Notamacropus eugenii: one gene and its partners. The protein of the gene in region 1 binds, or shares a complex with, the protein of each later gene. Links are inferred from orthologs where the notes say so. Each region holds a gene or a part of one and is shown on either strand. Other genes may lie near its edges.

Region 1 (7,569 bases):
CAAAAAGCCTGCGGGGGGATCAGAGGCGCCATCTGGCCCTCCCGGCAGGACCAGGAACTCCAGCAGCAGCAGCAGCAGCAGCAGCAGCGCCGAGGGGCGGCCGCCGCTGTCTTCCTTCCTTCCTTCCAACCGACTGTCCGTCAGTGTGTCCACCATGGTCCATCCGTCCCTCCGTCCGTCGGCTCCTCCATCCCTCACTCGGGTCCTGCACCTCCAAACCCCCAGCCTGGGCGGGGACCAGAAGGCCAACTCAGGGTCCAGCCGACGGGATGGGGGAAGGAAAGGAGGGGGGGTCCCTGCTCTCAGCCCCGCCCGCGACCTCCCCCCTCCCCAGGCCTCACCTCCACCCCGCGGTCAGGAGATCACACACTTGCAGTTCAGACACCCCGGGCCGCTCTCGTCCGGGGGATTCAGCTTCCGCAGTTTGTGCTGCCGGATTTCCCGCACCAGTGTGTAGAAAGCATCCTCCACCCCCTGCGGAGAGGGGCAGCTCAGCCAGAGCCTGGGTGTGCCCTGGCCTCGGGCTGGCCTCCGAGGGAGCCGCTCTGGGGCCCTGAGGCCATACAGCCTCAGGCTTCCCTCGGAGGGAGCTCATCCAGGGCCTAGGTTCTTCCCAGACTCCAGCTTCTTTTGGACCCAGGGTCACCTTGGACATGGGCTCATGTCAGATCAGGGTTCATCTTGGACCCAGACCTCCCAAGGATCCCCCAGGTCCACTTCAGATAGGAGCTCACATCCAACCAGGGCCTACCTAGCCCAAACTGTGCCACACAAGGGCTCACCTCTTCACTACCCAGACTCCCTGCTGTTCTGGGGCCTTGTACTCAGCTACTCAGCTTTTTTGGGTCTCTCCATGCTGGGGAGAGGCCTCCAGCTTGGCCTCTGTACCCCCACCCCCACAGCGGGCAGCTGGGACAGTAGGTGGGAGGCCTTCACCTGGCGAGTTTTGGCCGAAGTCTCAATGTAGGGGATCCCATAACTTCGGGCCAGTTCCTGTGCCTGGCGTGTCTCCACTGTCCGGGCTGGCAGGTCACATTTGTTCCCCACCAACACCATGGGCACATCATCCGAGTCCTTCACCCGCTTAATCTGCTCCCTGCATGGGAGGAGAGAAGCAGGAGCTGGCCAGTGGGGCAGGGCAGGGCTGGCAGGGCCGGTGGAGGGTGGGGTGGGGGCTCACCTGTACTGGTGAATGTCTTCGAAGGACTTGGTGTTGTTAATGGCAAAGACACAGAGGAAGCCCTCCCCGGTGCGCATGTACTGATCTCTCATGGCGCTGTACTCCTCCTGGCCTGCAGTGTCCAAGATGTCAAGCAGACAGGTCTCTCCATCAATGACCACTTGCTTCCTGTATGAGTCCTGGAGTGGGGGGAGTTAAGGCAGAACCCCAGGTCTCAGCTCCCTCCCTGCTAGGGAGTTCCTGGGGAAAGCTTCTGGGAGCCTGCTTCTGGTGATGGGAGTGATTCTGAAGGGGATGGGGTTGGGGGAGGGGGACCTGGGGTGTAAGTGTATGTGTTCCTGGGGCGGGGTGTGGGGGGTGAGCATTCAGGTTCCTGGGTGTGTGTGTGTGTGTGTGTGTGTGTGTGTGTGTGTGTGTGTGTGTGTGTGTGTGTGTGTGCGCGCGTGTGTGTGCATGCGCGCACGCACCATCTGGGGTCCTGGCTGGGGAGGGCAGCATCCAGGATCCTGTGAGTGTATGCGAAGTCAAGGGTCCTGGGGTATGTGTAAGGGGGAGGGTGCCATCCAGGGTCCTAGGTCAGGGGTAGGGAGCCGTCCAGGGTCCTGGGTATGTGTAGGGGGGAGGGTGCCATCCAGGGTCCTAGGTCAGGGGTAGGGAGCCGTCCAGGGTCCTGGGTATGTGTTGGGTAAGGGGTCAGCATCCAGGGCCCTGGGGGAGGGGGGGAAGGAGGGTGCTGTCCAGGGTCCTGTGAGCATGTGTATGCGAAGTCCACGGTCCTGAGGTATGTGTTGGAGGGGGACATCCTCCAGGGTCCTGGGTGGGGGAAGCTGTCCAGGGTTCTGGGTATGTGTTGGGGGGCGCACCATCCAGGGTCCTGGGTCCAGGGTGTGTGGGGGGAGGGCGCCCTCCAGGGTCCTGGGGCGGGGGTGTGGAGCCGTACAGGGTCCTAGGGGCCTGGGGGGGAGGGCGCCGTCCAGACTCCTGGGTCCTGGGGCGGGGGGCGTGGGGGCGCGCTTACCTCGATCGTGGGATCATACTCGTCCACGAAGTGATTCTGAATGAGCTGAATGGTGAGCGCGCTCTTGCCCACGCCCCCCGCACCCACGACCACCAGCTTGTATTCGGTCATCCTGGCCAGGAGCCTGCGGGGAAGCTGCGCTGTCTCAGGGGCCCCCAAGGCCGGCCCCCCAGGCCTGCCCAGGCCCCCGAGCGTGGGGGAGGGGGAGCTCCCAGGTGGGGGCCCCGCCCCCGGCAGCCCCTCCCCCTGCAGCCCCTCCCCCAGCCCCTCCCGGCCCGGGCCAGGTCCCCCCCTCTCACGGCACGCGCACCCCCAGACACGGACACGCCCCGGGACAACCCCCCCAGCCCCCGCGTTCGGATGACGGGCAAGTTTGTAGGCTGCCCGCCCCGCATTCCCCCGCACCCCTTTCCCCAGGCCGCACCCCGCCCCCGCCCGTGCCCCTGCCCCAGAAGGGGAAAGCCAAGGCCACGGCCACGGCCACGGCATGCGCTCCGGGAGGCCCGAGCCCCCAACCTCCCCGCTGAGGGGGCACCGTCCCCACCCCAATAACCCCCCCACACACACACACACTCCCCACCCCCCGCCGCCCCCTCCCCTCTGCCCTCCGTCCCGCTCCGCTCGCCGGGACCCCCCCTAGGCTCACCGGGCTCACTGCCTCCTCCGCCGTCTCCTTCTGCTCCGCCACTGCTGCCCCCCCGGGCCGGGGGCTCCGGGCCGGGGGCTCCGGAGGGGGCTCGGGGGGCTCCGGGGCTGGGGCTGGGGCCGGGCCGGGCGGCTCACTCCGCGCATGGGCTCCTGGCGGCCCGGGGCGCGGGCGCGCGCGGCGGGCGGGGGCGCGGCGAGCGGCGGCGCGCGCCTCGGCCCCGCCCCACCGCGCACGCGCACGCACACGTACGAGGACATTCCTCGGCCCCGCCCACCCTTTCTAGCCGTCTGCAAGGTCTCACCGCCGTCGACGCTCTCTGAGCGGCTCTGACTATTGGCTGAGCCTCCTGCCCATCACGTCCTGGAGCCAGCCCTACTTCCCGTTGGAGAAGTAAGTTGACCATCAGAGTCTAGTTTCTTATTGGCTGAAGCGCCTGCTTCAACCCGATCAGTGGCCGGAGCGGCCTTCTAGGCACCGCCCACTCCGGGATCCTTTTCGGTATTGGCTGGGAGGTGAGAAGGGGAGAGCATTCCAGGCAGAGGGAACTGCCGGGGCAAAGGCGGGGCGACGGGAGCTGGAACTTCTTGCGGCACTGCAGTAGGCTAGTTTGGGCCGGTCGCGCGGCATACTCTGAGGAAGCTCAAAGAGAGGAGCGGTGACCCTGGGCAATGGGGAGCCAGGGATGGAATGACTGTTGGGCAGCTCCCTAGATAGAGGGCCCCTGCGGCTGGTGGGCCAGCCTGTGCCCTCGAAGCGTGTGCTGGCCCGGGTCTGCCTGTGCCTGCGAGGAGGGCTGAGCCTTCATCCCGACACCGCGGGGCCTGGGGCTCCCACCAGGATGGTCAGGGAGCAGCAGGTCAGCGCAGGGTCCGAAAGACACCTCCCTGACCCCACCTGGGCGCTGCCGCTCCCTGCACCCAAGTGGTCCCTGCCCGAGCCTAGGCAGGAGGTCAGGGAAGGCTTCCTCTGTGTAGAAGGAGGGACTGCATTCCAGGAGTGGGGCACAGCCAGAGAAAATGCTAGGGTCGGGAGATTGAGTGGCACATTCAAGGGCCAGCCCGACAGCCAGCGTCTGTATGCAAGAGCACAGAAAATGAGGGGAAGCAGCCACATTGGCCCTGGAGGTAATAGGGAACCACAGGAATTTGTGGGCAGGGGGAGCAGGGAGATTGAGATGGTCAGAGCAGCAGATGATCTCCCCACTACCAGCAGGTGGTTACGATAGGCTAGGAGTGAGGGGACGGGTCTGCCCAGGACCGCAAAGGAAGAGTTCTCAGACCCACACTGAGAGACCGGAACAGGAGTCAAGGGCAGGCAGAGTGGACCGCGAAGTGGGACTGCGCACTGGGCAAACACCCGCTCCGGGACTTTGACCAGGGAGCAGAGCAGACCTCGAGTTTCAGGTACGGCCAAGTCTACAACCTGCAGCAGAATGAGTAATCAGGGCAGGCAGCCCAGATGAATAGGAGCTTCCATTTCTGCCACTCTGGACCTGGAAAGCCTTCCACCTGGCTGGCCCTGGCCGAGTCCAGTAGCAGTTTACTGGAACTTGAACATGGAGTAAGCCCACAGTTATGTGGCTAAGACCTAAACCGACCTCTGGAACTGGCGAAACTCAAACCAAGACGACAGGGATTAGCCTTCACAAACTCAAATAGAAATACAACAAACATTTCTTTACCTTGCCAAGCACTGGGAACACAAATAAAAAAACCCAAAGTCTCTGCCCTCAAGGAACTTATGATTTAACGGGGCATGAAAGGAAATGGGAAAGTAGAATGGGGTGGGGGTGGGGGAACATGATGACAGAATCCGAAGAGTACAGCTGTTGGAAGATGAAGAGTCAGACTTCTGAGCCCTCTTTTAAATGGAGATTTTGGGTGGAGTTTTTTGCTCTGCCCTCCAAGCCTCCAGTCCAAGGCAACTGAGGTTCTTAATGAGATGTGAATATCCAAGTTGATGAAATCTCCTTGAGTTTGATGGTTCGGGGAGGGAAGGGAGGAGGAAGGAATAACTAGTGCCATCTGAATCCAAAGGGAGATAATCCTGCATCAGACCACTTTAGGAGCAAAGCAGGACCTAAGAGGACCGAACGTGGCTCAGCCCTTAACCAGAAGCAGAGCCTGACCCTTACATGAAGTTTAGAATCAGGAAGTAAGGGTGGAAGAATGAGTAAACAGAAAAAGAATCCTACCATAAAAAAGCTATTATGATGACAAGGATACTCAACATAAACCCAAAAGGAGAGAATGACTCCAAAAACATCTACAAACTGAACTTCAAAGAATAGCACAGCTTGGACACAAGTTCAATGAGAATTTCTGGAACAGATGAAGCAGGAGTTTAAAAAAAAAAAACTAAAACGCCATTTTATAAATTAAATGAGAATTAGAGTAAATAATCAAAAAATAAAAGAGGGGAATAGGGGAGAAAATTGAAAATGAATGAGAGCCACAGAAGAAAGAATTGGAGAGAAAATTAACAGCTTAGAACAAGAGGCATAAAACCTTACCCAAGTAACAGACTCCTACAAAAATTATAATGTACCAAATAGAAGTTAATGGTTTCTGTTTAAGGACAAGAAATATTAAAGTCAAAAGACTGGGGGGAAAAGTGGAAGAAACTACAGTGAACCTCATTAAAAAAAAAAAAGCAAAAATGACCTGGGGGAACATAAAAGGTCAGGGAGAGACAATTTAAGAATCATTGCACTACTTATTTCAAGAAATAAAAGAAAACTTCTCACATCTTTTAGAATCAGTGGGCAAAATAGAAATAGAAGGAAGTTACTTCCTGAAAGAAATCTCAAAATGAAAATTCCCAGGAACATTGTAAACAAGGGGCGGAGCCAAGATGGCGGAGTAGAAAGACACATGGACGCTAGCTCTGAACCCACAGCCCATAAAATATCTGTAAAGAAGAACTCCCAACAAATTCTGGAGCAGCAGAAGCCACAGAACAACAGAGTGGATGAGATTTCTGTTCCAGAGAGCCCTGGAAACCTCTTGCAAAAGGTCCGTCGTGCCCTGGACCCAGAGCCAAGCCCAGCCCTGCCTTGGCCCTGCGGGCACCAAAAGAAGCAGATCCGAGCAGGCTTCAGGGATGGAATCTCCAGCGGCCACGCAGGTCCCTCCACCCACAGGCCCCAAAGGTTGGTGAGAAGGTCTTCTCGGCTTGCCGAGAGGGGAGTGGGGTCCCCCCATAACTCAGGTGCCCTCGGGAGGCAGCAGCAGAGGCAGGAGCAGACCAGGGCTCCCCAAGCAGGCAGGAGCTTGGATCCATTGTTGAAAGTCTCCCCATAAACCTCCTGAGGGAACTGAGCCCGTGTGGCGGCCCTGCCCCCACCTGAGCACCTGAACTTGATCTCACACTGAATAGCAGCCCCGCCCCCGCCAAAAGCCCTGAGGCTGGGAAGCAGCATTTGAATCTCAGACCCCAAGTGCTGGCTGGGCAGATCTGGAGGCAAAGTGGGTGTGAAGAGAATACTCAGAAGTCAAGTCACTGGCTGGGAAAATGCCCAGAAAAGGGAAAAAAAAATAAGACTATAGAAGGTTACTTTCTTGGTGAACAGGTATTTCCTTCCTTCCTGTCTGATGAGGAAGAACAATGCTTACCATCAGGGAAAGACACAGCAGTCAAGGCTTCTGTATCCCAGCCCACCCAATGGGCTCAGGCCATGGAAGAGCTCAAAAAGGATTTTGAAAATCAAGTTAGAGAGGTGGAGGAAAAACTGGGAAGAGAAATGAGAGAGATGAAAGAAAAGCATGAAAAGCAGGTTAAAAATGCTGAAGAAAATAACACCTTGAAAAATAGGCTAACTCAACTGGCAAAAGAGGTTCAAAAAGCCAATGAGGAGAAGAATGCTTTCAAAAGCAGAATTAGCCAAATGGAAAAGGAGGTTCAAAAACTCACTGAAGAAAATAGTTCTTTCAACATTAGAATGGAACAGATGGAGGCTAATGACTTTATGAGAAACCAAGAAATCACAAAACAAAACCAAAAGAATGAAAAAATGGAAGATAATGTGAAATATCTCATTGTAAAATCAACTGACCTGGAAAATAGATCCAGGAGAGACAATTTAAAAATTATGGGCCTACCTGAAAGCCATGATCAAAAAAAGAGCCTAGACATCATCTTTCATGAAATTATCTAGGAAAACCGCCCTGAGATTCTAGAACCAGAGGGCAAAATAAGTATTCAAGGAATCCACAGATCACCACCTGAAAGAGATCCAAAAAGAGAAACTCCTAGGAACATTGTGGCCAAATTCCAGAGTTCCCAGGTCAAGGAGAAAATATTGCAAGCAGCTAGAAAGAAACAATTCAAGTACTGTGGAAATACAATCAGGATAACACAAGATATAGCAGCTTCTACATTAAGGGATCAAAGGGCATGGAAGAGGATATTCCAGAAGTCAAAGGAACTGGAACTAAAACCAAGAATCACCTAGCCAGCAAAACTGAGTATAATACTTCAGGGGAAAAATTGGTCTTTCAATGAAATAGAGGACTTTCAAGCATTCTTGATGAAAAGACCAGAGCTGAAAAGAAAATTTGACTTTCAAACACAAGAATGAAGAGAAGCATGAAAAGGTAAACAGCAAAGAGAAGTCATAAGGGACTTACTAAAGTTGAACTCTTTACATTCCTACATGGAAAGACAATATTTGTAACTCTTCAAACTTTTAATTATCTGGGTACTGGGTGGGATTACACACAT
Region 2 (7,784 bases), on another chromosome or scaffold:
CTCTTACCCTGAGACCCCAAACCCTCATGTTGTTCAGTCCTTTCAGTTGTGTCCGATTCTTCATGACCCCATTTGGGGTTCTCTTGACAGAGACGCTGGAGAGGTTTTCTACTTTCTTCTTCAGCTCATTTTACAGATGAGGAAACTGAGGCAAACAGGGTTAAATGACTTGCCCAGGGTCACATAGCTAGTGAGTGTCTGAGGCTGGATTTGCACTCAGGTCTATCCTGACTCTAGGCCTGGTACTCTATTCATCATGCCATCTAGCTGCCCTGGACCCTCATATTCAGGGTTTCTAGTCCCAGTTCTCCCACTTACTCCTGAAACTCCCCTTCTTACCCCTAAATAATCCCAAACTTCCCACTCTGAGATCCCCAGCCTTTCATCCTTGGTACTCCCTCCCTGCCCCTTCTTAAGACCTCAAATAATTTCACAGAAGTAGCCTCTCTATTCAGAGATCCCAAGTCTTCAGTCTTCTCTTTGCCTGTTCAAGCAGAAATTCCCACCCACCATTCTGAGACACACTTACCAAACCTCTTACTCTGAGCCCCTGGGGAAAGGGAAGAGGATAACTAAGCAATAATTAGGGAAATTTGCCACATTTTTGCCCTTCTTATCCCTTCCACATCCCAGTTTCCTTCCCTCCCCCTGGACTCTAGTATCTCTCCAAGCCATACATTTCTCTCTCCAGCCCAGCTCTGAGACATGCCCATCTGCCTGCCTGGTTTTATCTATACAGCCCATTCCTCTGGTATAGGTGGTTTAGGGACAAAAGCATGAGACCTGTATGGCCTTGGGAAAATCCCTTAATCTCTCTGGGCTTAAATTTTCACCTATGTAAATGAAAGTTCAATTAAGTGACATTTTAAATGTACCAAGCACTTGCTGTGGGTCAGGGACTGTGGTAGATACTGGACAAATATAGATATAAAAGGGTCCCTGTCCTCAAGAAGCTTATATTCTGTGGAGGAGACTCTGTATATGGTTAAATAGAAAGAGGACCCAAATCCTACTGTCCACCCTTATTGCCTGTGTGACCTTGGGCAGGTCACATCTATGGGTCCTAGCTTCTTCATCTGAAAAGGAGAGAGTTGAAGTTGTGGAATTTGTCTCGCTTGACTATGGATATTCATTATGGGTGTTTTTTTCCTTTTTTTCCCCCTTTTTCCATTGGGAGAGGGCAGGAGGAAGAGAAAATAGATTTTCATGAATTTAAAAGAATGACATTAAATGAGGCTGGACTAAAAAGCAAAGAAGGACCTTTCTAGCCCTGAATCTGTTCCTCTTGTCTGATCCTTTGATCCTTTAAATACAAAATATTTTGGTGGTGGGCAATGCTCTAACCATGGGGGAGATTGGGAAAGGTTTCCTGCAGGAGAAAGAGCTACCAGGTGGAGGTGAGAGAAGATGGAATCTCAGGCAGGGGAGGAACAACTTAAGCAACAGCAGAGAGGTGGTAGATGGGATGTCATGTATAAGGAACACCGCGTAGACCATTGTGGTTGGAATTCAGAATGCATAAGGAGGAATAATGTGAAATAAGTCTAGTAGGACACATTAGAGTCATAATGTGAAAGTCTTTAAATGTCCAAGCAAGGAAGGGAGCCATCGTGGTTTCTTGAGCAGGGTCAGACCAGTGCTTTAGAAGTAGTCATTTGACAGCCATGAACTGGATGGAATGGGAAGAAGGCAGAGTAGGGAGACCAGGACTACCTCTTCTCCTCTACTCTCCAGCCCAGGAATCTGAGTAGAGCTGTGGCCTAGGTGTGGAACTGGGCAAAAAGAGCAAAAGAGGGCTACTTTGTGAGGTACTGCAGAATGGAAAGGAAGTCTTAGTATAACGGAATAAGCGCCGATTTTGGAGTTTGAAGACCTGGGTTCAAATCCTTCTTCTATCACTTATTATCCACTGTGACTTGGGCAAGTCGATCCACCTAACCCTCAGTTTCCTCATCTGTAAAATGAGAGGATTGGACTAGATGGCCACTAAGGTCTCCTCCAATTCTGAATTAGATCTAGAACCCAGGCCCCGGAACGCTCCAATCCCTTCGTCTTTGTCTGGGGAGGTTAGATTCTCAAGTCTCTCAGATCCCTCCCAGATAGACATCACATAGTCCTTTTAAGGTTCAGTCCCAATTCTGCTTAACAGGATTTTAAGACTGATTGCAAACACACCAATCAGAAGCTTCCGAGTGGGGCTGGTTAGCCAATCCAAACCCGCTGCTGGAAAGCGGGGATTGCGAAAGGTACCAATAGGCTCGGACTCTGGAGAGGGTCAAAGCCCTGTAGGGATGGGGGGGCGGGGCAAGTATGCACAGCTGTCTCTGTCTCTCACCCCACAGCCTTCCACCCTCCCCCCAAACAGCGCCTGACTCCTCTCCTGCCCAGTCCCCCACCCCAGCTGCTCCCCCTTCTAGAAATTGGACCCTTCCTTCTCCCGTCCTCTCCTGCTTAGGGAAGGTTAGGTTTCTGCTGAGAAGGTGCCCCTGTCAGCATTTTCATGAGCCCTGGGGAGGGAGTGGGGATAGGGCTTCCACCGTGGAGGTATAAAGGGCTGTATTGAAGACACACCCTGACCCCCAATAAACTCAAGCCAGTCTCCAGGGAGTGGGAGTAGGGGGTGTGGAGTGCAGAAGGCAGGGGTACCTCGACTCATCCTCCTTGGAGCACCTCCCCCTCCCCCTCCCCCCTGGCTCCCCGCCCCCGTCCCCACCAGCAGCCCCAGCTATTCTGGGCAGCACACCTGTTCCCCCAAATTCCCATCTCCACCCTCGCCCTGGCCTGACCAGGCTCTGTCATGCAGAGATTGAGAGACCCAGAGACAAGAGACCCAGAGACAGGAGGACGGAGAACAGGAGAGAACCCAGAGACACAAGGATTCAGAAGACAAGAGCCTAGACTCTTTGGCATGTTAGGACTGGAAGGGGTCTTTGTCAGCTCATTCCCGTTATTTGACAGAGGAAGGAACTGAGGCCTAGAGAGATGGAGATTCAGAGACGGAAGCACCTGGGACTCAGAGTCAGACAGCACAGGAGACCCCAAGGAATACAGAGATAGAGACAAACTCCACCAGAGACCCTGAGGGTCTTTACTGAGGGGGAGGGGAACTTGGGAGCAAGGACAGTCAGAACTCCTCCAGGCTCCCCCAGCCAGGACTCCTCTCCACCCCTCACCCCAGGACTCTAAGTGGGTCAGAGCAAGGAGTTGGAGAATGAGGCCGGTGGGGAGGAAGCTAAATTAAGCCGACAGGGAAATTGGCATTAATACAGAGCTGTGGTCCTGGTCTAAAGCAGTCACCACGTTACCACCTGCATTCCAGGGTGGAGGGGACCCTCCTTTCCTCGCATTACCACCACCACCCCGCCCCAAATCCAGGCGGGCCAACGGGATTTTCCTCCAAGTCCTACTCCCAGACAATGAGACAGGGACCCAGACACATTCAGACACCAAGAGAGACAGAGACAACCATCCAGAAAAAGGCAGGGACAGTCAGAGACGGAGAATGAACCTGAGGGATAGGCCAGAGACGCAAGGAAACAGATCTTGAGAAAAACAAGGTGTTCATAACCAGAGACCCAAAGAGATCCTTAGTGGCAGAGTAAAAGAAGAGATAGAGAAAAGACCCCAAAAAGTTTAGAGACCCAGAAACCCCAGAGGCAGAGATACTCACAGTTCGGAGAAACTGGACGTCATCCTCGCCCTCCCCTCCATCCCCCATGATCCCAGGGAGCTGAGGCTAGGACTGGGGCCTGGGAATCTGGGGAAGCTGGGCCTGGGGCGCTGATGGTGGGGACTGAGGGGCTGGACACTTGGAGAGGGTGGCTGGGAAGGCGAGGACAGAGATGGCACTGGGAAAAGAGCTCCGAAGGGGGCAATGGGGGTGTGTGGCTCTTAGAGCCCGCCCTCTGGTTCCTATAGGTTCTGAGTTTTGGAGGGGAGGAGATATTGTATTGGCCCCGCCCCTCACCCATAGCCCCACCCCTCCTCTTTCCAGTCTTGCACCGGATCTCTGCTGAGGCTGGGAGATGAGATGGTTCTAGACAGCTGGGTTCTAGACAGCTACCCCATTCCCCAAACACCTCAGTTCCCCATACCTGAGGTCTCTTGAAGGAAGAAATTCCTTAAATATAATCTAGTCTCTCTCCTCCCCACCCTTTCCCAGTGCTAGTCCCCAGTCCCTTAGAGGTACACATGTATATTTCCATAAATCTGCGTGTCACTCACACACACACACACACACACACACACACACACACACACACACACACACACACACACACACACACACACACACACACACCCTCATCTGCATATAATTTACGTGGCACTGAGCCCGTGCCCCACCCACTAGAGACGGGGCACATGACCTGGGCTGAACCACTGAGTGCACAGGTGTGTATTCTTAGGGAAATATGCTCACTAGGTATTATGGGTAATAGACTGGGGCGGTGGGGAGGTGTAGGAAACCTCAGTACGTCACCTTGCCTGACTTCCCTCCCCACTTCCCCCATCAGAAGACTCAGGAAACCAGCAGTTTCCTTCCTCACTCAGCACATCTGCACCATTTCTCCAGCTGTGTCATGGGAGAGGAAAGAGGGGAGCCCCTAGGATCTCCAAGCACTTACAGTCGTCATGTTTTACCAACTATCCCTTTCACTCTTTCCTCTCTGGGGCAAGGAGTCTCCAACTTCCCTTGAGGTCCAGGCCCGCTTTGGCTGCTCCACTCCCCTCTAGCCTCATAGGGAACCAGGTACAGCCGCACAGATCCTCGAGGGGGAGGGAAACATCTGCTTTCTCCTCGGGCACAGCTAGATTCACTATAGAGAGAGCTGGAAGAACATCTGTAAGAAGCAGGTGTAAAGTTGATATCTTGGCCAGAATGAGAAAGTGTTAGGGGGAAAGGGACAGCTGATAAAAAGAGAATCTGAGACAGAGATGATGGGGGTTGACAGTGGAAAAAAAGAGGCAGAGATTGTGAGAGAGATAACATACATATCAAGAGAAACAGAGAGGGCCAGAAATACCCAGTGAGACGGAGACAGAGACCCAGGCGGAGCTAGAGGGCCAGTGTAGGAACCTCAGAGGATCCCCCTCCCCCAGGCTACCCAGGGCTGGTCTCTCCCTGTGTCTCTTCCTCTCTTTCTGACAAGCAGTGGGGGGAAGGGGGTCAGTTCCTCTTTCACTGGGAGGAAAAAAGTCCAGGCTCCAGTAGCTGTGAGGGGGCCCTGAGGGGGAGGGGCCCAGAGACATCCAACCCGGCCTGGTCTACCTAGGAGTCTAGACCTCCTCCCCTCCCTCCCCAGGGGGCAACATGAACCGGAAAGAAAGCAAGAGGTGAGGGGATCCCCTGGCCCCTGCCCCTCCTTCCTTACTGACTCCCTTCCTCCTGTTCTCCAGGCCCCTCCCATTCTCTTTATATCTGTCTCTTATTGGGGGTGGGGGGATTATGGGGAGGACGGATGGGAGGGAAGTAATCTAGCCAAGGATAAGTAGAGAACAGGTCTCCTAGAAGTTTAGGGTCTTGTATCCTTAAGGGAAGGATGAGGAGAGAGGAAAAAGAGAGGTTTAAATTCCTAGTTCTGACCTTTTCTCTTCTAAGGACCTTTCTAGCGCTACACTTCTATGTTCCAAGGAAATCTAGCTCTGCTATTGTCTCCCAATTTTGACATTCTCTATTCTAAGGCCAGCCATGGCATTCTCCATTTTAAGGTTTTTCCAACTCCGGAGGTGGGAGGGGAGTCAATCCAAAGTGGAGTGGGAGGGAAGAGACAAAAGGCTCGAGTCCCCTCAAGACTCCTATTCCTCTAGGCTTCAGGACGGGGTGCACTGTGATCTCAGGCAGTGTTCTCCTTTACTGGGCTTCAGTTTCCTCCTCCATAAAAAGAAAGGGAATGACTGAAATGATCACTAAGGTACCAGCTAATGCACCAAATGATGAATGTCAAGCAACCTATGTATTCTTGTGTTTGAGCGTCTCTCCACATGTAACAATGTAACTCTATGTGTAACTATGTTTCCATGTGGAACTTTTTGTCTCTATCTCTATAATGGTGTATAACATTATAACTCTGTGCCTCTAGTGTAACTGTATCTGTCTATATAACATTGAAACTGTCTCTGTATAGAACTTTGTATCTCTGTCTTTGCAACTTTGTAATGCTATCTCCATGTGTCACTTTGTCTCTCTCCCTCTGCCTATTTATATGCATAAACATGTATCTCTGTGTGTTTGTACCTTTCTGCAACATCTGAAGAATCTGTGGGTGCCTCCATGTATACCGATGTGTAGCCCTGTGTCACTCTGTATCTCTTGTAACACTTATTTATAACCTTTCTCTGAGTGTAACATTGTGGCTGTGATACCACCTATCTCTGATTCTGTATTACTCTGTGTGTGTGTGTATGTGTGTGTGTGTGTGTGTATACATGCTTAGCTCACACTGTATGCTTGTAATGTAAAGATCCCTAGACTTAGTAAAAAAAAAAAAATGGGGGAAGAACCCAGATTTCAAGCCTCTTATTTTTTTCTTGAGCTCATCAGGTCATCTCTTGAGGCCTCAGTTTCCTTATCTGTAAAATTTGAAATTGTACACCTAGAAGGAGGCTTAAACCTCATTTGGTCCATCCACCTCATTTTACAGGTGAGGAAACTGAGGTCCCAAGAAGTTAAGAGGTTAGCTCAGTGTTACACAGGAGGCAGAAGTAATGAATCTGGGGTTGAAACATAGATCTTCCTTCTTCAAATCTACAGCTCTTTCCACTCTGTCATACTAGCTGGTTTCATTGCAGAGGTGGAGGCCTGAGGATGTGCATTACTTTATGGCCAGGCATAGTTGTTTTATGATTTCATTTGGCAGAACTGCTTTTTTTCTCTTCTTTCTTGTCTTTGCTACAAGGGAAGGTTCTGGAAGGAGGGGAATGAAAGAGATAAAGAAACAAAAGATTTCTCTCTATTTCTCCATCTGTCTCTCTATCTCTGTGTCTCTCTATCTGTCTCTAATGAGGAGGTTAGATTTGGTGAGCCATAAGGCAGCTTTGATTAAAATCCTACTTCTACCAGCTATGTGAACTTAAAAAAGTCATATAACTTCTCTGGACCTCAGTTTCCTTTTCTGTAACAAGAGGATGATATTTGTGCTTTCCACCTTCCAGAATGATTGCAGAGGGAGCAGTTTAAAATGACCCTGATGTCATCTTAGAAATGAGTTATTATTATCACTCTGTGTCATTGATATCCATCTGTCTATGTTGGTATGTTTGTCTCTGCCTGCTTCCCTCTCACCCTACCCCCATGCCCAAGGATGCCCCCAAAATAGTCTCACCACTCCTGGAAAACCACTATGTCTCAAGGTGTAGGGCAAGAGAAGAGTATAGTATACCTGAGTCCCTAAGGCTCCCCCCAGGGCTGGATACTCCAGGTTGCCTTTGAGATCTCAGGAAGTGACACACAACACTCGGGTTGGCTGGGTCCCCCGCCCCCTAATTTTACCAGACCTCTGCTCTCCTCTGAGGGAGATGGGCCAGGACCAGGGACAGGGAAAGACCTGCCTGGCAGCAGGTAAGAAAAGGGCAGGAAGGAGGGAAAGGGGTGGAAGTGGATTTCAGAGCAAGGAAATGAATTTTGCACTTCCCATTCTGCTGGAGGAAGTGGAGGAGCCAGGCAGAGGAAGGGGAAGGAGCTGAAGTTCTGGGCCACTCCCAGACGCCTTCCCACCCTTTGACTTGGGGTGGGGGGAGGAGAAGCTGTTCTCTGATTGGAGGCCTCAGAGACTTTCCCCAATTTG
Region 3 (7,501 bases), on another chromosome or scaffold:
TAATATTTTGGAGATGGGTTTAGAATGAATTCCAAGGAAAGGACATCTTTGATCCACTAATTGGCCAAAGGCCCTGACATTTTTCTAATCCACTCTGCCCCATACTGTTCAGCCATAGCCATTACAAGTTCATAACTTTTCAGAACCTCTTTCTAAAACCCACGACCTTTGCGCCCACAGTCCAGGAGTTTTCAGGGCCAGACTCTTTATTTGCTCTCTAAGCAACATCAGGCAAGGTTCATGCATATCTTGCTTTGAACATGTCCTCATTTGGTGAACCAGAGGACATCTTTCTACTTTGTTTTTCCTTTTTCCTTAATTTTGTGAAAAGCAGGAGCTTTAGTGAGGGATGTATTTTGGAACATATGGCAGTAGGAATTTTATAATAGGAAGAAACATATGAGGAACCTACAGAACATGATCCTTGTTTTCTCAGAACTCTCCTGGAAATGTTTGTAGCCCTCTTATGCACTTTCCAAATTTCAAGCCCCTCATCCTCCTAGCTCTGATGTATTGTTTTTTGGTTACTGTTGGAAATAGATATCCAGCCTACTTCAGTTTTCCTCAGCTTCTGGTCCATTTCTGGGCAGACCCTCCCCCTTAGCAAGAAGATAGGAATGGTGGCCCCTGGTCTTGGCGCTCGTTGTAAAGTTAGAAGCCCTGGATAGGGAGTCAGATGGTGCCTGTCACTAACTGTGATGGAGCAAGTCCCCCCCTCCTTATCCACAAAATGAGCAGGTTTGGTTCAAGAGATCTCAAAGACCCTTTCCAGCTATGTTCATGGTCCTAATTCTGGAGAGCAGGCAGATAGCAGGCTCCAAAATCTGCTGCAAGACTGTAAATGGTGGGAAGTGCGCAGCCCTGGAGTCAGAGGCACCGAGTTCGAATCCTGCCCATGCCACTGGTGACCCAAGTCACTTCATTTATCTGTCACTCCACCGTTCCCTCCTCGGTTGGACTAGAACGAATTCTTCATCTCGGCGGGGAAGGAGGCGGTCTGCCCTTGCCTGGTGTCATGGACCCCTGGGGGAATTTCAGAATAATATTGGTAAATGAATAAAATACGTGGGATTACCAAAAAGCCAACTCTACTGAAATGCAATCATGTAAAAAATCTTTTAAGACGTCACGTTCCCCAGAGTAAGAGTTCCTGCTAGGTCCGCGGATTCCCTTCTACGTCAGGGAGTCTCGACAGACACGTTATTAGGGATGAGCTGAAGAAGCAGGGGCGGGAGGATGCTCGCGGGGAGCGCAGGGACGTGGCCGCTGGGGCTGCGCCCGCACGCGCGGCCCTCCCGCCTGCAGGGGGCGTGTCGCGGGGGCTGAGCGGGGCGGAGACTGAAGAAGCCTCCTTCCGCTCCCTGGAGCGCCGAAGCGCGGCCGAGCTGCTCGGAGCTCGGCTACCTGGTCTGGACGCCTCCTCTGAGCATCACTTCCGCCCTGACGCGGGCCTCCCTGAGTCTCGTCAAGGAAAGAGAAGCGCCCGGGGAGGCAGCCGCGCAGGCGCCGCCCGATTCTAACTGTCTGGGTTGGGGTCGCGGGGGTCCTGGGGCTGCCAGTCACTGCCCCGGGTCCCCGCCTCACACCGGGGACTCCTGAGCCGTTTCCCTTTCTTCTTTCACGAGGATGTATATTCTTTTGTCTCCCACAGAATGGACGGGCTACGTCCCCAGCCGCAGCCCCTTCCCCATTTGTCCACCCTTGTCTGATCAGCAGACCTGGCCCTTTGCCCGTCCCAATCCTCAGGCCGCGATGCTGGCCCCGTGAATTTAACTTATTCTTACTCGTGAACCCCTCCTCCATCCCCCCCCCCCCCCCCCCCCCGCATTGGGTGGCTGAGCATGCCCAGTCCGATCTGAAATCCAGTTATCCGGGTTTTACTCCACGGCCGGGGAGCGGAGCAGTACCTGTACTTCTAGCCTGGGAGAAGAAAGGGGGAGGGAGGGGTGTGTGTGTGTGTGTGTGTGTGTGTGTGTGTGTGTGTGTGTGTGTGTGTGTGTGTGTGTGTGTGTGTGTGTGTGTGTGTGTGTGTGTGTGTGTGTGTGTGTGTGTGTGTGTGTGTGTGTGTGTGTGTGTGTGTGTGTGTGTGTGTGTGTGTGTGGTGGGGGTGGAGAAGAAAGGGGGAGGGAGGGGTGTGTCTGTGTGTGTCTGTGTGTGTCTGTGTGTGTCTGTGTGTGTCTGTGTTGTGGGGGTGTCAAGTTTCCCTCACCTTGGTAGGGACTCCTCCTTTGTACCCACAGTCCAAGAGTTTTCAGGGTCAGGCTCTTTATTTGCTCCCTAAGCCCTATCAGGCAAGGTTCATCCCTGGCACTGCAGGCAGAACCTGAGAGGATGCAGGGTGGTGGTTGGTGGTGGTGGAGAACGGCATTAGACTGATAGGGGTGCCCTGTTGGAAGGAACCCGACAGAGATCGCAGAGGTTTGTTGACAAATTTTGATTGCTAACTGCATCGCTAGATCTCGCGTACTAGCTGTGTGACTTGGGGCAAGTAACCTCCATGCCTTAGTTTCCTCATCTGTAAAATGGCGATAAACCTTCCAGGATTGTTGTGTGGACACGTTCAGCGCTTTGCAAACCTTAAAATGCGTGTATGTATGTGTGTATATGCATACGTGCTATTACTCTGGTGTCATGGATAGAGCACTGGTTCTAGATTTAAGAAGACCTGAGTTCCAGTGCAACCTTAGACACAAGTGGTGTGACCCTGGGCAAAGCACTTAACTTCAGATTCTTCATCTGTAAACTGGGGATAATAATAGAACCTACATCCCCAGATTGTTGTGAGGATCAAATGAGATATTTTAAAAGTACTTTGTAAGAGCTAAATATCTATACCATAGATTTTGACCATACCATTTTACTTAGTACTCACATCCCAGAATTTTCTTTCAGCGGTTGCTGATATTTTTTGACTATGCAATTAAGAGGACAACAATGGACGGCTTACTAACATTTTCACGCTCCCCTTGCTCCTTTATTTGAGGGGTGTCATTTCTTTCCAGCTTCCACTACTTTTGTTTCTGAAACCAAGGAACTACATTGCTCTAAGTATCACCTGCTGGAGCACATTCACCAGTTAAGAAGCTCGATCCACCTTTACTCTAGTTTTTTGCTTTGTTGTTATTTTGGGTCTCCGTGTTCTTCCTAGGATGAAGTGTGTAACCATTAAAAAGATATGAACCTTTTCTGGGTCTCTGGGTTGTCAATCCAGTCATTTATGAAGCTCCTACAATGTGCCATCACTGTGCTAAGAGCTGGGGAATACAAAGAGTCAACGCCGTGCCTGTTCTGCTCTCAAGGAGTTGTCTCTCTTAATGGGGGAGATGATGCAAATTACTATGTACTCGCAAGATGCACACAGTGTAAATAGAAGGTAATCTCGGAATGAACGAGCAAATGCCGTTCACGTTAGAATAGATGACCTCTAAGGTCCCTTCTGACTCCTCCGATGTGCCCTTGTGTCCAAGAATGACCAATTAAACTGCACAAGTTGGCATCCTCAAAGGGAAGGAAAGGGCGAGTGCAACACGCATACCTGCCCTATCCCTCCCGGGAGAGCTTAGGGACCTGTCTCCTTTGGAGGTTGGCTGTACAGTGCCTATTCTATTTTAGGCATTCACCCGACACCTCTCTGGGTAACTAAGTCTGCGCCTCACCCCCCCGCGGTGCTTCTGATACGAAAAGAACCCCAGACCTCGAAAGGTGAAGCACGTTCTTTCATGTGACCCCATCTCACAACTCTGAGAGTGCTTTCCCCTGGCTCAGCTGGTGTCCCTCAGCCACCCCTCCTCGCAGTGTGACACTACTACCCTCGCTCCTTCCCCTCCTCTCCAGTGCCAGGGCTGAACTCCGAGCGCGGCCAATCTCCCTACTTCTTGAATCCCTCCCCCCCCCCCATCCCTCCAGGCCCTTCGCGGTTGAAGGGAAAACCTGGAGCCGGAGGAGGTTGGGGGCGGGGGAGGGGGAGGTGGCAGCCGCTAGAGACTGCGAGCCGCTGTCCCCGCTGCTGAGCATGCTCAGTAGCGAGGCAGGTTCCACTGAAGTAGGAAGCTTGAGCTTTACACCGGCGGCGGTGGTGGCGGCGGCGGTAGCACCTCGGGGCGGCCGGGTTCCTTTAGAACCACAAAATCGGGCTGTTCCCGTCCTCCTCTCCTGCTCTGTCCTCCCCGTCTCCTGGGACCCCCCGGGCAGCCTAGCCGCCGTAGCGGAGGGAAGGGGCGCCGGAGACGTCTCACTGCACGCCCCCCCTCCTCGGGGCTCCGCTGCAGGGCCAGGCCGGGCCGGGCGGGCCAGGCCCGGGGTAGGCGCCCAAGGGGACCCTGGGGGCGGCTCCGCGCTGAGACAGGGCCAGCGGCGGCAGCGGCAGCGGCGGCGGGGGTGGGGGGGAGAGCGCCGGCTCCGGCCCCGGCCCCGGCCCGGGGGAGGCGGTGCGGGATGCCGCCGCCGCCGCCTCCTGGCCCGGGCTCGGCTTGGTCCCTGGTCCTGTGTAAGTGGCCGCGCCGGGCCCCCGCTCGCCTTGCCCTCCGCAGGGGCCGGGTGTGAGAGCTCGGCCTCCTCCTCCTCCTCCTTGTCCTCGTCCTCCCCGCCCCCTGGCGCCCCGCTCGGCCGCCGCCGCCCCCCGGAGGAGCCCCCGGGGCACCATGCAGGCGCTGCAGCTGCAGTACGAGTTCTTCAGCGAGGAGAACGCGCCCAAGTGGAGGGGGCTGCTGGTGACGGCCCTGAAAAAGGTGAGGTGGGGGCGCGGGCCGGGGGAGGGGCGGGCTGGGCTCCGGCATCCCGCGGACGGCTTGCCCGGTTTCTCGGGGCGGTGTCGGTGCGGGCACTGCTCGCACGGCGACTGCGGGAGGCTGTTTGTAGCGGCCACCCACCGAAAAGCTTAGTGCCTAGCCCCCTATCCTCCTCCCCTTTTCTTCTGAGTATGTCGAGGTATGCAGAAGAGTGTCTAAAAATGATCCCCTGCTGCCTTTTCATTCTCTCCATCCCTCCATTCAGTAAGCCGTGAAGAGGCAAGTGAAAGGCAGCCCTGTCCTCAAGGAGCTTTTCCTCTCCTTTGTATATTAGGAACTAAGGTCAGCTTCTTGCCCTAGGTGCCCAGGGCCCCTGCGTGAGCACTGTGGAAAACTGCCCACATTCATCTGCAGGCTCCCTGAGGGAAGGGACTGACTTTGCCTTTGTGTGTATCCCCCGTGCCCAGCGGAGTGTGGCACCAAGGAGTCGCTTAAGAAATGTTGTTGATTTGACTTTTGACCATCTTGTTTGCCCTAAGTAATTACGCTGCTTGCCTTCGGTTAGCTACGGGATTAGATCTTTTTGGCTTTGTTTTTAGTAATCGCTTGCCACCATCCAGAATTGCCCCACCCCCCCATGCTCCATTTAGTAAGGCTATGCGAAAATAGTACTATTTGATTTATCAGTTATTACATTGGAAGGCTAAGGTTTTTGCTATTCGAATTTTGGCTTGATAATCAGAATTTTCAGAATTATCATCTCTTTGCAATCTGTAGCTGCAAACTTTTAAAAACAACATTGTGTACCAAAAGGACATTAAGACATCTGAAATTGGAATCCTTTAAAGAATGTGTACTTGTGTGACTTCTGAAGTAATAATTTGTTGTTTCTTTTCTAGTCGTCATTTCTGTTGTGCTGCATTTAGAAGTTACTTTGTCTTTTCCTATTTTTTGTTAACTTTTTTAAAACATGTTTTAAAATCCCTGTTACCATATTGTTCAACACTGAAGCTTAACAAAGTAACTCTGTGTTTAGTGATTTGTTCTTAAGATACATTTTACTTTTTGTTACTCTAGTCTAGAGAATTGAATTTAGAGAACAGTTACTCTTTGTATGCTTATTACTAGATTATTATATCTTCTTAATATGTCTTGAAAGGTATAGAAAGGTTTTCATTCTCACTCCCTTTTTCCTTGTATTTCCTTGTATTTTTGTATAACTTTTCACTTACTTTTTTCTTACAATGTTATTAAGTTCAGACTTCAGTGAACTGTTTTTTCTAAAAAAATCTAAGTTTTAGAAGCAAATGGAAAATCAAATTGCAGAAGTACCTTCATTATGTGCAAATCAGTATTCTTGCAACTTAAAGTACATAGAACCCAGGAAGCAAGAAAAATTTTCTGAGTCGCTAAAAAGATGTTACAAAGCTGGTAAATTTCACTCAAGATAATGCATTAGATCCTCACTTAGTTCTCCCTTTACTCTTATTTCATGCATGATTCTGCATTTAAGTGTGGAAGGAACTTGTGTCACTAAGGCATCCAAGCAGGCACTGATAGCTTCATAGTGAGAAAGAAGGGAGAAAAACTGTAAAAAGTAAACAAAACTCAAGCTTAGCTGTCTGGAGCCATTAGGAGCAAATAGCCTTACACACCTCAACAACCCCCAGGGGCATTACTGTATTACCACATGACCCATCATTAAAGTAATGATGATACTGAGTCACTAAGAAAAGGTTCAATTATGTTTAGTATCTTACCTTGGGGAGAGTAGAGTGCATCCCCGTGACTGTAGTGCCAGAGCAGGGATAAGGGTCCTCCTCCCCTCTCCTGCTTCTATACTTTAGGTCTTACTATCAAGCAGCTTGGTGGGGGATAGTCTCTTTTAATGTCCCCATTAACTAAAAACATTCTTCAATAGACTCATTTTAAGGAGGCAAGGAAGTACGTTATAACTTTGAGAAAGATTTGGCCCTCAAATGGGGTAAGTTTCATTTATCTGGAAAATTAACATGTGTGGAACAGTTCATTTCCTGATGCTGGATAGATGAGGTGTTACTATACTATACTTGTATGTGAGAGAAGAGATCAAGTAGGTCACAATTTGTGACCTATTGCCCTGACTAGCTCAGATGTTATTTAAAAAACAAACTATTATCTTGAAATTGATACTACCTCAAGGGAGGAGAATTTAGAGAATGTCTTTTGAATGTTGCTTTTGTGTTTCTTTTGTAACTCAGATTCCTTGTTGTTAATTTTAAAAATCCACCATCTAACACAAATCTTTAGTTTATTAGGAAATAGTCTACCTAACTACACATTTAAAAAAATAAAGTTGATGTCTTCTGTTTCTTACATCATTATCCTTATCCCAAGTATCTCTCTTGCTGTTCCTCTCAGAGAGCCATCTCATATGACAAACAGCATTGGGGGAGGGGGGGAAGGGAAGACAAGAATCAGTACAACTGATAAAAGTCCAAAAACATATACAATATATAACACTTTTATAATTCCTACCTCCCTGAAGGGATGGGCTGGGGATGTCCCCTCATATCTCTTCTTTCCAGTCCTTCTTGATCTTTGATTTTGTTACATTCACTTCATATATGTGTATATATATGTATGTATGTATACACACATATTGGTGTGTAGTTCTTTCTATTTACATTGTTATAGTTACTGTGTATATTGTTTTCTTGGTTCTGCTTACTTCTGGGTCAGTTCATGAAGATCTTTGCCTGTTTTTCTCTATTCATCACATACATTTCTTACAG
Region 4 (7,148 bases), on another chromosome or scaffold:
AGCCTTAGGGGAACAACTATGTGAGCATTAAATGGATGAAGAACCAGTAGGTGTTCCCTACAGAAATGAAACTCTAGATCTGGTCCAAATTTAGAGATAATATTTTCCTTAAAATCTTTAAAATATCCTTGACTTTCCTTATAACTTTTGAGACAATTCAACTGGATTAAACATACAGATGACACATAAGTAAATAGAAAGAGAGAGATGGATGGATGGAACATTTATCAAGTGCTCATTATGTGCCAGGCACTGTGTTAAGTGCTGAAAAGTGAAAATATAAGCAAAGAGAAAGAAAGAAAGGAAGTTCCTGTTCTCAAGGAGATTACATTCTAGTGGGGGAGGGGAAGAGAACACTCCAAAGGAAACTGAAAAATGAGTATAGGAGGAAGGTGGCAGGAGCAGAACTAGGTGAGAAGTGAATATGGCTGGCCTGGGGAGCTTTCTCAAATAGAGCTTCTGGGCAGGAACTCACCAGTTGAAACGGGGGCCGCAGGGATGAAGGCAGCCAGGACAGAGGTAGAAAAGTTTTGAGAGTCAGGAGAAAAGAGAGACAAGAAAAGAATGAGAGGAGAAGAACTGGAAGAACCTAGTGAATACATCTTTATCAAGGAGTTTAACAACAAAGAGGAGGAGAGATATAGTATGATAGTGGGGATGATAAGTCAAGTGAGGCTTTTTTAAGGATGGGGGAAGACAAACATGTTTATAGGCATCAGAGTAGGAACCAGGAATTGAAATAAGTGGAATATAAGAAAGAGAATCAGGATGATAATAGGGAAGATCTATAGGAGAAGACAGGAAGGGATAATAGGATCACGAGTGCATGTTAAGGGATTGACCTTGACAAAGAGAAAGGCTACCTCTTCATCTGAGATATGAAGGAAGGGGGAGATAGTAGAGAAGATGTCTTAGTGATATGAGATGAAAAGGAAAGAAGAAGGGGGGCTCATAGCAAATGGACTTTTTGGTGAAATCTGGGGCAAAGTCCACATTTGAGAGGGTGAGGGTTAGGGGTGCCAAGGAAGATGTTAGGAGAGATGAGAAAGCCTTGAACAGCTGCTTTGAAGAATGAGTGAATAAATTAAGAAGCAATAAAATGATTGTTTCCCTTCAGTAAAGGCCCACTTGAGATTAGAGAACATAAATTTGTAGTGGATACAATTGGCATGGTTTTGTGATTTCCTGTAGTTTCATTCAGCAGCACATGAGCAAAAAGAGACAGATGATGAGAGTAATATAGGGGTGGGTTTTGGCAAGGGATGATTGGAGATAAGACAGGGCAGCCTGTGATCAAGAGAAGAGGTTAATGTAGAGTTGAGCTGTTTTACCAAGGGGTCAAGATAGAGAAAGAAGAGTATAGCTAGTGAAGAACAGATTGCCTTGCAAAGTACTCAGTTCCTTCATAGCAGAGTTTGTCTTTGTTTTCCCAGGGCTTAGGGCAGTACCTGACACATAGTAGGCTCTTAATAAACGTTTATTGACTAGCTGACTGACAGTACCAAGACGTAGAAGGAATTATAGTAGTTGAAAGGCATAAAGACAGAATGACAAAAGATTATGATTATATAAATAATTTCAGAGTTAGGATCCAGATTAGATGATTATTTAGAGGGCTTGACTCTAAGGCAATAAGAAAAAAGATAAATTTCACTGAGACAGGGAAAAGAGATAAGAATGATGGTAGTATGTATTTTTGGCAGTTGAGGATAACAGTTCTAGACATAGTGCTTCTCCATAGAGCACCCTGGGTATCCAGAGTGAGGGAAAGCATGGACGGAGGAATTAAACACAATGGTTTTGGACAAGGAGAGATGAAAAGGGGTCAGAAGTGCCCTAAGAGAAAGGTAATTTAAAACAAATTGATGGCTTCATAGATTTTACCTAGACTTGACCTTTGTCCAAAGTCTGGAAATTATCCAAGGAATCATACCTATGTTGTGACATAGTGATCTGAGTTCTGGCTACTTTCTGTGCCCCTGTAAGTCACTGTCTAAAAGTCCCTTTTTCCCTTCTTTTACTGTGAAATTTTAATAACTTTTTTTTTTTTGTTAGGCAATCAGAATAACTGCAGGTTTTATGACTGCAAGGGTCTTTCCGTGGAATCTGCTCTTGTAAACCACTTAGAAATGTAAAGTCATGTAATCTGTTTGCTCATGGGTTTCCTCGGTGTGGATTATAACAACACCAGTCAGGCTTTGTAAAGACTATCAAGGTATTTCTGGGAGCAAATTCAATATTTTAGTGTCAGTCTCGAAGACCCTAAGTAATTTAGGTTTTGGTTACCTTAGAAACCTTTTGTCCCCCTGTGAGTTGCCGTTGGCTGTCAAACACAGGACTGTTTTTGAAAGTCCATAATTCTTTATTCCTGCAGCAAAGGAGAAACATTAAGCTTGCAAATGAACACAGTCAGGATTTTATTTGAAGGAAAGAGACAGTTCTGTTATTATGTGGGTGGAGGGAGAAGGAATTTAGAGCCCACTCCAACCAACAAATTATATTTCTGAAGGTTTGAAAATTGAACTGAGGGGGAGGAGAAATACATCATATGGAAAGCAGCTGGACTGCACTGGCTTTGATTGTCTTCTCTGTTATCTCCTTATCCTTTTTTCCTGCTACTTGAGGGGAGGAGGGAAGGTAAATTAGAATATAGTGGGGAAACTCCCTCAGCTATCAATTTAGCTTCTCCTTCCCTCATCATAGAACTCCATTGCCAGACGGTTCCCAGAAAATCCCAAGAAGGAGAATCAGCCTTTGAGGAGTTTAGGGTTGAGAGAGAATGAAGGGGACATAAGCTTTGTAAAATGTATCCCTTTGATTTTTTCCTTGTGGGATCCTAACTCCTCTTTTAGAAATTATGCCGACTCTGATCTACTTGTATACTTCCCAATATAGGCATTCCCCTACTTATAGGTGAGAACAGAATGAATTCTATGAATTCATTCCAAGTATCCTGAGTACAGCCTTTTCCTCCTATTTGGCCAAAGTGCTGGCTAGTCAGTATACCTCAGTTTCAGTTTTGACCCTGTCACTTATTGATCTTGGGTAAGCAATTTTCCTTATCTGGGCTTTTGGTTCATCTATAAAATAGCAGGATTGGGCTAGATCATTTCTGGTCCCTTCTAGTCTTAGGATTCAAGTTGCAGCGTTTCTCAGACTGGGGTGGGGTGGGATGAGGTGTTAGGGAATTTTAGGTATTAGGCATAATTTTTATTTACAAAGCTCTGGGATTATGGGTTTAATTCTGGAGGCACGATGTGTTTGTTTTGTACACTACTGGGTTGTGGGGATCAGAAAGATTCTGGTGACCTTATAATAGTAAAGATCCTTACGAATCAAACTCTAGGAGCCGCCCAATTTAGAGAGCACATAAATTTGGAGAAGCCTTATCTCATTTTTCTTCGGGGTGGGGGAGCCATTGTTACTTCAAAAAAACCCAAAACAAACCAAACCAAAAAACCCCACACAACCAAACATTTATTCTCCTAGCCTCCTTTTTCAGTAGCAAGCCTTTCTCAATTTCATGGATATTTTAAAAGGCATTTTCAACTCTTCAGAACAGTAGGTGATGACATATATGTAAAAGTAACAGAGGGAGGTTTCTTTTTCATTTCCCGGCACTGGTATTTCAGACTAGAACACAACAGAAAAAAAAAAGTCTAGCAGCTGGACAGGGCAGCTAATCCACAGCTGGTCCTGCTGGCAAGGTTCTGGGCATTATCTGTTACTGGCCCTGACTTAAGCTGAGCTAAAGAAGGACACCACCCTCCTCCCAGTTACAGGGTCTCAACGAGGCCAGCAAGGTTTATGCCAAGGACGTGAGCGGCCCAATGACCACTCTGTCAGCTGGATAAAGCCAGGGGCCCCCTTCTAAGCTCCTTCTCAAGGAGAGCTGGGTTGGCTCCCGGGCAGGAAGAGAAGTTTTTGAGCAGCCGGGCCTGAACTAGCGACCACAGATAAGGTATGCCCACCGCCCGGGGGGGTCTTCTGCTGCCCCCCGGGGCGAGGGTCTTCCAGGAAGCCCAGCTCGAACGGCCGGCGCCCCCTCCTCCCGCTTCTCTCCTAGGCCACGTGCTGGAGGAAGGCTCTGCAGCAGCCACCCGGGCGGAGCTCCTGCGCCCACTCCGCCCACTCCCCGCCTTTCCCGGGGCCTGGCCGCCCACCTTGCCGCTCCGCCCCTTCGTCCGCCTCCGCCTCCCCAGGCAGCCCAGCCTCGAGCCCGCAGCGCCTGCCCGGCCCGGCCCGGCCAGCTTCCCGGGGAGCGCAGCCACCGCACCTGCCGAGCCCAGCCGCGGGCACCCCGGCTCCCCCTCCTCCCTGCGGGGTCTCCCATGACGCCTGAGCTTAGCCCCTCCACCTGCCAAGCATGACCACTTCCCTGCAAGATGGGCAGAGCGCCCCGGGGAGAGCGGCTGCCCGGGGCTTGGGGCTGGCCCAGGTGTGCGGCGCTGCCCAGGAGAGGGGCGACGCCGGCGCCCTGGCCGCGCGCCCCCCGGGGCTGCCCTGTCGGACGCTCCTGCCCGCCCTGGAGGGAGCCCACTTTTGTGCTGAGGACAGGTAGGTGGCCTCCGGGGAGGGGAGCCGACCGGGGTGAGGAGGACGGTCCTGGAGGGGAAGCCTGGGCTAGAACTCCGGCCAAGTTTGGGAAAAGTATCCCAAGACAGTCCCCTTCCCAGCTCGCTCCTGGGATCGCTAGGACATTGCGATCTCCCGGTGTCTTCCCCTAGACAGCCTTGCCCATTCATTGAGAGCCGCCTCTCCTTCTCCCTCCTGACACCCGCCTCTTCTGAGTGGAACCAGAAGGCAGCGAAGACTCCAGGGTGATTTTTTTTTCCTTCGAGGCCCTGCATTTTCTTAATAAACACTCTTGGTTTCTTTAAACTGTAGCATAAATGAAACCTCGCCTCCCACACAGACATTACCGGTACCTAGCCAGAAAAAGCAATGCTCTGGATGGATATTTGATCAGTCGTGCTTCCCGCAGGCAGAGGATGGAGTCGTTTAAAATATTCTCCAATCTTATACCGTTCAGCATCAAGTACATTTGTAGTTGTCTGTGTCTAAAGTAGGGCATTCCTTAGGAGAGAAAAGGCTGCAAAGGTAGAAAGCTTACAGATTAAACCTCTTATTGACCTCCTTCAACTCCCATGGCTCAGGTACCGCTTATTTATTTATTGATTGTTAGGTTCGGAGCATTCTAAACTCTAGCAAAGTTACATTACTTTTCGGTGCACTGCAGTGTTCATTTATACTAGCAAGTTCCATTAACTGAACTGCTTTCAAAGACAGTACTAGTTGCTGTTTTGTAGCTTAAGCATCTGAGAAGTCAACAGACTGTGTGTGGGCAACGTTTTGAATGAAATTTGAAGGGAGATGAACCACAGCTATAATTAATAAGTATAACTTTCAAAATGTGATTAGTAAAGTATAATAGAACAGGTTTCTCTAAATGCAGTAAAGATTCCCTTCTTTTCATTGAAGCTTTTAAAGAATTTTTTTGTTTGTTTGTTTGCTTAGAGCAGTTTCCATCTACCGTTTTGGTCTATGTATTTTTGCTTCAGAAAAGTTACCAAAAACTGCCGTTTACCCACATGCCTGATGGTTTGTGGAAGGTCAAAAGGGTAAAGGATATTACAAAAGGTTTAAGTTTATTAAAGTAGTTTTTAAAAATTTAATCCACAGAAAGTATAACAGAAAACCTTTTAGTGTACTTTATGTAATATTAGGTCTGTTAGAGTACCGTTTGGCCTTAACAGTTTTAAATTCTGACAGTAATTATGTTTTACATTCTGTTTTATGTAAATTATATCCTATGTTCTGTTGGTTGCAGGAGAAAAAAGAAAGATCTCAATGTTCTAGAAATGCCATCTATTCCAAATCCTTTCCCTGAGCTTTATTGTTCTCCATTTACATCAGTGTTTTCAGCAAGCCTATTTCCCAAAGCAAACTCAAGGAAAAAACAGGTATGGTTTTTAGTTTCATTGTTATAACTCTTAGGATTGACAAAATCACATAACATCCTAAAAGACACATTCACTCTTCTGATTTCGGTTTTTGTGTCTGTGGTTTATTTAACAACAGTCATGAAAAGGAGTCAGGCTTTCCTCATAGTGTTAGCTTCAAGGCTAAAAACTCCCCAGTAAAATATGTGAAAAATCAATATGTGTTTAGTTGTAACAAATTGTAACAAGTATGATATATTAAATAACACAATCATATATATGTGTGTGTGTATATATATATATATACATATATATATACTGTGTATAAATATAGTAACATAATTTCTATTTTCTCCCTTTCCAACAAGTATTTATTAAGCACACAAGGCCAAAAATGCAGTGGTTCTTGCCACAAGTAAACAACTGTAAAGTATATGCAAAGTAATACAAATAATTTCAAGAGGGAATTTCATGAGAGTGGGTGATTAGGTTACCAAAATCCTTATGTAGGAGGTGGTACCTACCTTGAAGGAAGCTGATTCTTCAAGGTGGAGGTGAGTAGGGCGTACAGTCTAGATAAAGAAGGCTTGATCCTCTATCCCCTTTGTTAGATTTCTTTAGTTCTTGAGATCCTCCATGCCATTAACTCGGTCACCCTTTAGTAATTCAGTGACAAAGTTAATTGGGCTCCAAACTTCTTCCATTTTTCCTTCCAGCATTTTGAGTTCTAGAGGAAGGCTACTTGGAGTGAAAGTTTGGAAGCCTCTGGCTGCAGAGGGGAATGGTGGACAAGGAATTGAAAGGTGATATTTAGGTATTTAAGATTTCTTCCTTTTCCTGGCACATAGTAGGTGCTTAATAAATGCTTGCTCATATGACTGTAAAGGTTCTACTTTGGGCTTATACATATGTATTTTTTGGGGGGGGGGGGTTGGGGGGGGAGATGGATCAATCAGCTTTACTTCTCATTTTACTTATGATTCTTTCCACGGTCTTTGGGGAGGGGGGAACACTAGGGATCAACAGGCTTCTACCCTTGGGCTTCTAGCCCAAGGAAGGTAGGAAAGAAATAAAAAGTGGGAAAGGGGAGGGGAGAGATGTAGTTGGGTAAGCAGATTTGGGCTTTATATCAGGAAAAACTTCCTACCAGTCCGTTGTTCAGAAGTGCAGTGGGCTGCCTTGATGTGTGATGGGTTTTCCTTTTAT

What was found.
Region 2: the proteins of HRAS (region 1) and RASGRP4 are in contact, whole or in part, in a crystal structure (PDB 6AXG), measured with the Homo sapiens proteins. The link is inferred for Notamacropus eugenii from reciprocal best matches to the Homo sapiens genes HRAS and RASGRP4. Residues at the interface, in NP_001123914.1 of Homo sapiens: Glu3, Gly12, Gly13, Gly15, Ser17, Ala18, Ile21, Asp33, Pro34, Thr35, Ile36, Glu37, Tyr40, Arg41, Asp54, Leu56, Asp57, Ala59, Gly60, Gln61, Glu63, Tyr64, Ser65, Ala66, Met67, Arg68, Asp69, Gln70, Arg73, Thr74; in NP_733749.1 of Homo sapiens: Tyr228, Gly232, Val234, Val244, Asn248, Ser251, Asn288, Met291, Ala292, Gly295, Gly296, Cys298, His299, Ser300, Leu327, Ala328, Ser329, His330, Asn331, Asn332, Tyr333, Ala334, Arg337, Leu351, Gly352, Val353, Leu355, Lys356, Val359, Ser360.
Region 3: the proteins of HRAS (region 1) and SOS1 are in contact, whole or in part, in a crystal structure (PDB 4NYM), measured with the Homo sapiens proteins. The link is inferred for Notamacropus eugenii from reciprocal best matches to the Homo sapiens genes HRAS and SOS1. Residues at the interface, in NP_001123914.1 of Homo sapiens: Gly13, Gly15, Ser17, Ala18, Thr20, Ile21, Gln25, Asp30, Glu31, Tyr32, Asp33, Pro34, Thr35, Glu37, Tyr40, Arg41, Asp54, Ile55, Leu56, Asp57, Thr58, Ala59, Gly60, Gln61, Glu63, Tyr64, Ser65, Ala66, Met67, Arg68; in NP_005624.2 of Homo sapiens: Glu589, Lys602, Trp809, Thr810, Lys814, Leu822, Met824, Ile825, Arg826, Thr828, Thr829, Thr832, Glu836, Asn869, Leu872, Val875, Ser876, Asn879, Ser880, Ser881, Tyr884, Ser908, Asp910, His911, Tyr912, Lys913, Leu916, Phe929, Phe930, Gly931.
Region 4: the proteins of HRAS (region 1) and GRB14 are in contact, whole or in part, in a crystal structure (PDB 4K81), measured with the Homo sapiens proteins. The link is inferred for Notamacropus eugenii from reciprocal best matches to the Homo sapiens genes HRAS and GRB14. Residues at the interface, in NP_001123914.1 of Homo sapiens: Glu31, Asp33, Pro34, Ile36, Glu37, Asp38, Ser39, Tyr40, Arg41, Tyr64, Met67; in NP_004481.2 of Homo sapiens: Val109, Lys111, Asp116, Glu117, Thr118, Ser119, Arg120, Ala121, Leu122, Asp123, Lys140, His142.

Annotation. Positions count from the first base shown.
Region 1 is NC_092873.1:27,850,115-27,857,683, reverse strand, and holds the start of HRAS (GTPase HRas), read right to left. Parts: upstream 3,016-7,569; 5' UTR 2,845-3,015; intron 2,323-2,844; 5' UTR 2,310-2,322; coding exon 2,199-2,309; intron 1,360-2,198; coding exon 1,181-1,359; intron 1,097-1,180; coding exon 937-1,096; intron 475-936; coding exon 355-474; 3' UTR 342-354; intron 227-341; 3' UTR 1-226. UniProt on the Homo sapiens protein: Involved in the activation of Ras protein signal transduction. Ras proteins bind GDP/GTP and possess intrinsic GTPase activity.
Region 2 is NC_092876.1:31,704,810-31,712,593, reverse strand, and holds the start of RASGRP4 (RAS guanyl-releasing protein 4), read left to right. Parts: upstream 1-4,772; 5' UTR 4,773-5,311; coding exon 5,312-5,334; intron 5,335-7,784. Other genes in the region: RYR1 (ryanodine receptor 1), read right to left, coding at 3,671-3,718.
Region 3 is NC_092872.1:672,340,541-672,348,041, forward strand, and holds the start of SOS1 (son of sevenless homolog 1), read left to right. Parts: upstream 1-4,501; 5' UTR 4,502-4,640; coding exon 4,641-4,727; intron 4,728-7,501.
Region 4 is NC_092876.1:225,021,978-225,029,125, reverse strand, and holds the start of GRB14 (growth factor receptor-bound protein 14), read left to right. Parts: upstream 1-4,137; 5' UTR 4,138-4,366; coding exon 4,367-4,557; intron 4,558-5,830; coding exon 5,831-5,963; intron 5,964-7,148. UniProt on the Homo sapiens protein: Adapter protein which modulates coupling of cell surface receptor kinases with specific signaling pathways. Binds to, and suppresses signals from, the activated insulin receptor (INSR). Potent inhibitor of insulin-stimulated MAPK3 phosphorylation.